Linked DNA regions of Saccharomyces cerevisiae S288C. The protein of the gene in region 1 interacts with the protein of each later gene in a pairwise test. Each region holds a gene or a part of one and is shown on either strand. Other genes may lie near its edges.

Evidence for each region.
Region 2: the proteins of ERP2 (region 1) and YPL264C interact in a protein complementation assay, tested with the Saccharomyces cerevisiae proteins (one large-scale study listed by BioGRID).

What each region holds. Positions count from the first base shown.
Region 1 is NC_001133.9:136,859-140,098, reverse strand, and holds ERP2 (Erp2p), read left to right. Parts: upstream 1-1,753; coding exon 1,754-2,401; downstream 2,402-3,240. Other genes in the region: Hsp70 family ATPase SSA1, read left to right, coding at 1-596; FUN14 (Fun14p), read right to left, coding at 2,589-3,185. UniProt on the Saccharomyces cerevisiae protein: Involved in vesicular protein trafficking.
Region 2 is NC_001148.4:42,783-46,232, reverse strand, and holds YPL264C (uncharacterized protein), read left to right. Parts: upstream 1-1,888; coding exon 1,889-2,950; downstream 2,951-3,450. Other genes in the region: KEL3 (Kel3p), read left to right, coding at 1-1,682; DIP5 (dicarboxylic amino acid permease), read right to left, coding at 3,364-3,450.

The DNA.
Region 1 (3,240 bases):
CCAAGACTAAGGACAACAACTTGTTGGGTAAGTTCGAATTGAGTGGTATTCCACCAGCTCCAAGAGGTGTCCCACAAATTGAAGTCACTTTCGATGTCGACTCTAACGGTATTTTGAATGTTTCCGCCGTCGAAAAGGGTACTGGTAAGTCTAACAAGATCACTATTACCAACGACAAGGGTAGATTGTCCAAGGAAGATATCGAAAAGATGGTTGCTGAAGCCGAAAAATTCAAGGAAGAAGATGAAAAGGAATCTCAAAGAATTGCTTCCAAGAACCAATTGGAATCCATTGCTTACTCTTTGAAGAACACCATTTCTGAAGCTGGTGACAAATTGGAACAAGCTGACAAGGACACCGTCACCAAGAAGGCTGAAGAGACTATTTCTTGGTTAGACAGCAACACCACTGCCAGCAAGGAAGAATTCGATGACAAGTTGAAGGAGTTGCAAGACATTGCCAACCCAATCATGTCTAAGTTGTACCAAGCTGGTGGTGCTCCAGGTGGCGCTGCAGGTGGTGCTCCAGGCGGTTTCCCAGGTGGTGCTCCTCCAGCTCCAGAGGCTGAAGGTCCAACCGTTGAAGAAGTTGATTAAGCCAATTGGTGCGGCAATTGATAATAACGAAAATGTCTTTTAATGATCTGGGTATAATGAGGAATTTTCCGAACGTTTTTACTTTATATATATATATACATGTAACATATATTCTATACGCTATAGAGAAAGGAAATTTTTCAATTAAAAAAAAAATAGAGAAAGAGTTTCACTTCTTGATTATCGCTAACACTAATGGTTGAAGTACTGCTACTTTAATTTTATAGATAGGCAAAAAAAAATTATTCGGGGCGAGCTGGGAATTGAACCCAGGGCCTCTCGCATGCTTTGTCTTCCTGTTTAATCAGGAAGTCGCCCAAAGCGAGAATCATACCACTAGACCACACGCCCGTACTAATTGATGTCTTCCTTTTCGGATAGATGTATATATATACAAATTGGTCAGATTGCTTTTGGCTCCCTTTCGTACGTAACTCATTTAGACTACGGATCACTAGCACTATCTCACCAAGTTTTTAAAAGATCCACTGTGATCATTAAAGATTCTATTTCAAATAAAAATCAATTATCATCTATCGACTAGTTTTCATGGTACTAGTATATTATCATGTACAGTGTGAGGGCTCGACATGAAGATTGAGAAGACAGTCATCGTTTTCAATGGAAGCTGAAATACAAGCACTGAATAAAAAGAGATAACAATATTTTAATGTCGTGATATTGGTTCCCTTCTGCTGGTCTTCGAGGAAAATTTCTGGTATGTTTTGTGTATCTAATATTATATAGCCTTAAATCACTACCTATTTTTCAGATCCGCCAAGGAAGCCACTCTGTGAACTTTAAATAATATTACAAATTGCTACAGCATCTCGAATTCAAGTGTTTTCAGACTTATTTATTTAATTCAAGAAAATGTTCATAAACTTTCATAAAGCAATCCTCAATCCTCTTAGCGCTAATGTTCACTGCACCTTACATGATGGCGTTTGGTTATATTTCAATCCTTTTCAGCGACGTGTCCCGAAACACGAAAAAGTACATTCTGCCAAAACTTGAACTAGTTAAAATGAAAAACTAACAAAATCTCCAGTGATTTCGATTCATTAACCTTAGGGATCGACACCGCCAATTCTGCATCAGGTGACCCAAACTAGAATAAGATAAACAGTGGAGTACACTCATTGTAAAGGAAAACCATGATCAAATCTACAATTGCTCTACCCTCTTTCTTCATTGTTTTAATTTTGGCGTTGGTCAATTCAGTGGCTGCATCTTCCAGTTATGCACCAGTTGCTATCAGTTTACCAGCATTCAGCAAAGAATGCCTGTACTACGATATGGTTACTGAGGATGATTCCCTGGCTGTGGGTTACCAAGTTCTAACCGGTGGTAATTTTGAGATTGATTTTGATATTACTGCTCCTGATGGATCTGTGATTACTAGTGAGAAACAAAAGAAGTACTCAGACTTTTTATTAAAATCGTTTGGAGTGGGGAAGTATACCTTTTGTTTTTCCAATAACTATGGTACAGCGTTGAAAAAGGTAGAAATTACACTAGAAAAGGAAAAAACTTTGACTGACGAGCATGAAGCTGATGTCAATAACGATGACATTATTGCCAATAACGCCGTGGAGGAAATAGATAGAAACTTGAACAAAATCACGAAGACTTTGAACTATTTGAGAGCCAGAGAATGGAGAAACATGTCTACCGTCAATTCCACCGAATCAAGGTTGACTTGGTTATCTATATTGATTATCATTATCATTGCCGTTATAAGTATTGCCCAAGTTCTACTTATTCAATTCCTCTTCACTGGTCGTCAAAAAAATTACGTTTAAGAACTTTTCAATCTACGAAAAATATATGTCCGCAATATAGAACACAATTAGGTTTATATTCGACGTGATTTTTTTTTCTTCCTTAGCCCTATGTATATTTACTGTATAGGATAAATGAAATACCAAAAATAAAAAAGTATAAAACGAAAGAATATAACCCTCGTTTATATCTGGTCATTTGTCTTGCTCATTTGTTAGCATTTAAACTTGCTAATACGAAACTCAATGTAAAGAATACTTTAAAACCCATGTATTCTGTACCCAATAACCCATCAATAAGCAGTTTCTTCAAGTCTACATCTTTCAAAACAATTACAGATTTGATATTTTTCAAATTAATGCGAATCCATCCCTTGTACCGTAACCATTCACAAAGAAGCATGCTTGTAATACCGACATACATAAACAAAATTGATATCTTAGCCACCGTAACTCCTAAAACAACACCGAATAATGATCCCAAAAACATCTGCTTGTGACTACTTATTTTGTTCCTCCTTTCCTCGGTAATTGCCGTACTGTTGCCCACAGTTGGTTCCAAGGGACCCTGTTGTTTGACAGCTGCCCCTAAAGAATCATTGAATATCAACTTAGAAGGCTGGCGATTCATCAAGTAAAAGCCACCAGCAACTATGCCAGCACCGCCTAACCCTACAGAGCGAGTTAAGGGCTTTCCTAATTTATTGGCGACATTAAACCTCCATAAGGGGACGTTCTTGAACATGCGCTTCCCAACATTCAAATTACGAAACACCAACCGTTGCATATTAAAAGCCAAAGTCATTTTACACCTATTATTTTAAGTTCTTCCTTCTTGCCCCTCTAGCGTTATGCTGTTG
Region 2 (3,450 bases), on another chromosome or scaffold:
AACATGAATTGTTCATTTTCGGTGGTGAATTTACAGATCCAGAAACCAAACTAACACATTTCTATAATGATTTGTATTCATACTCCATAAAGAACAACTCTTGGAAAAAATACGTTTCGCAAAATGCACCTTTGCCCAGATCCAGTGCCGCTGTCGCTGTGCATCCTTCCGGAATAGCACTGTTACACGGTGGTGAATTTTCGTCCCCAAAACAATCTAAATTCTACCACTATTCTGATACATGGCTGTTTGACTGCGTTGAAAGGAAATTCACTAAGTTGGAGTTTGGCGGTAGAGACTCTTCACCCAGCGCCAGATCAGGTCATAGAATTATTGCTTGGAAAAACTATTTCATATTATTTGGTGGATTTAGAGATTTGGGGAATGGTCAAACTTCTTACCTAAATGATTTGTGGTGTTTTGATATCTCAACCTACAAATGGACCAAATTGGAGACAAACAGCAAACCTGACGCTAGATCGGGTCATTGTTTCATTCCTACAGATAATTCTGCCATATTAATGGGTGGTTACTGTAAAATCATTGCCAAAAATAATAAAAATTTAATGAAGGGAAAAATCTTGAATGATGCATGGAAACTGAACTTAACGCCTGATCCAAAGAAGTGGCAGTGGGAAAAATTAAAGAATTTCAAGAACCAGCCCTCACCAAGAGTCGGGTATTCGTTCAATCTATGGAAGCAAAACAAGTCCGTTGCTTTTGGTGGTGTCTACGATTTACAAGAGACAGAGGAATCCTTAGAGTCCGTTTTCTATAACGACCTATATATGTTCCACCTAGAGTTGAACAAATGGTCTAAACTTAGAATTAAACCTCAGCGTCAAACGAATAGTAAAAATTCACCCGCCACAAGTAAAAGAAAATCTAATAAAGATCAAGAAAAGGAACTGCAGGATTTACTAAATTCCATTCTGGCCAAGTCTAATCTAAATGACGACGACGATGACAATGATGACAACAGCACAACGGGTCCTAACTCTATCGATGACGACGAAGATAACGAAGATGACAGTGATTTGGACAACCAAGAAGATATTACCATCTCAAATCAATTACCTCACCCAAGATTTAACGCAGCAACTTGTGTAGTGGGCGACTCGTTGTTCATTTACAGTGGTGTCTGGGAACTGGGCGAAAAAGATTATCCTATAAACTCATTTTATAGTATAGATTTGAACAAGTTGGATGGTGTCAAGGTTTACTGGGAAGACCTATCTGCCATCGAAGAAGCAAAGAGACTAGGTGATAGAGATTCGGACGAAGATGAGTTTGAATACGAGGACGATGAGGAGGATGAGGACGACGGCGAAGAGGAACAAGATGCAGGACCCCTTGAAGGTGATGAAGATGAGGAAAGCGAGAGCGACGATGACAAACAAGCGCAGATGGAGATTCCAGACGAAAGGTCTTGGCTACCACACCCAAAACCGTTCGAAACTTTAAGAGCATTCTACTTAAGGGAAGGTGCAAATTTCTTAACCTGGTCTATTTCTAACAACAGAAACCTTAAGGGTAAACAGTTAAAGACGAAGTCATTTGAGTTATGTGAAGACCGTTGGTGGGAAAGAAGAGATCAGGTGACCCTTGAGGAAGAGCGTCTGGAGGATACAGGCGGAATCATTGAAAGAGATACGACTACTAAACCTTCCAAAAGAAGGTAAACATTTTCGCTTTTGTAGTTGAGTTTAAAAAGTATTTATAGCATTTTTTTTTTTTATAGATATCTGTCTTCCATATGGCATCCTTTTCTTTAGTCACTAATTGAGTCATCTGGAAAAAAAAACAAAGGAGACAGGGAAAATTATCTCATTATTACATTCACGAAAGCTGCCCCAACAGAAAAGTAGAATAAACACCTCCTCTCTCAATGACGCTGCAAAGAATTAGTAAAGATTATCTAAAGCCTAATTATGGACTTATCTTACTTATAGTGTCTTATTTTTTCAATTCTTCTATGGTAGTTTCTACCAAAGTCCTAGAAAATGACCCACTGGAAACTTCGCAATCAAGAATTAATCCTCTGCAAATCCTGCTAGTAAGGATGTCTATCACGTACTGTTGTACGCTAGTATACATGCATTGGAATAAACAAAGTGTTCCAGATATTCCATGGGGCCCAGCACCATGCAGGAAATGGTTGATACTCCGAGGTATAATGGGTTTTTTTGGTGTTTTTGGAATGTACTTTTCTTTAATGTATCTAAGTATAAGTGACGCTGTCTTAATCACCTTCATGTCGCCAACCCTAACCATTTTCCTTTCATTTTTACTGCTGGGTGAGCCATTTAGTAAACTTGAAGCCTTGGGGTCCCTAATTTCATTTTCTGGAGTGGTGTTAATTATTAGACCTACATTTTTGTTTGGTGAGCAGACCCAAGGCCAGCAATCTCCACAAGACGATATTGTTGAGACTCAAAATCCCAAATTAAGACTCATTGCTATCGGGGTGAGTTTATTGGGGGTTTGCGGATTGAGTAGTGTTTACATTATCATAAGATATATCGGTAACAAGGCACATGCCATCATGAGTGTCAGTTATTTCTCGTTGGTTACTACTGTTGTGGCAGCCCTCGGTGTGCTTCTAATTCCCTCGATGTCTTTACAACTGCCTCATTCGTGGAAGCAGTGGGGGCTATTTCTGAACTTGGGTATTTCTGGATTCATTCACCAAATTCTGTTAACAATGGGAATCCAGAGGGAGCGTGCAGGAAGGGGTTCGTTAATGACTTATACTCAAGTTATATATGCTGTTTTCTGGGATGTCGTGCTCTTTCACCACTGGCCAAACATATGGACGTGGTGCGGTATGGCAGTTATCGTTAGTTCTACTATATGGGTCATTAATATGAGAGCCTCCAAACAAAACGTTGTGGCTACTGCCGAGCTACTCTCCACATCGGACTTTGAATTAGATGATTTGGAGGATTAAGTGATACCTGTACACTATGGTTCCATGTTGCAGGTGGCTATATTTGAAAAGTCTCCACATATATGTTAATAAGATCGATTACTCCACAAACAGAAAATAACGAAGACTTGAACTTTTCTTATTTTTATGTTTTTGTTTATATTTTTGAATTTAAACTGTTTTATAGAAATGTATGTAATATATAAATTTTATTTTCCTTGAAAAAATGGGTATTTTTCTTTCTATTTTTTCAAGAAAATCTTCCTGTAAATTAATTATGCAATAATGCTGTGGTAGGACTGGAAATAAAAAATGTTGATAACGATTGTTATTAAAGGTAAAAGAAAAATGATCAAAGAGAAATTCTTGTGCTCATTTTTTTGATTGGATGAATATAGTTTCATGTTGCCCTAAGGCTTTGATTAAAAAGGCATCTAGAAGATATTACCCAAAAATTTTTCATAGAACCACTCCATATTTTTACCGTTACTTTTTAAACGCTCTTCCTTTTCTTGGTCCTT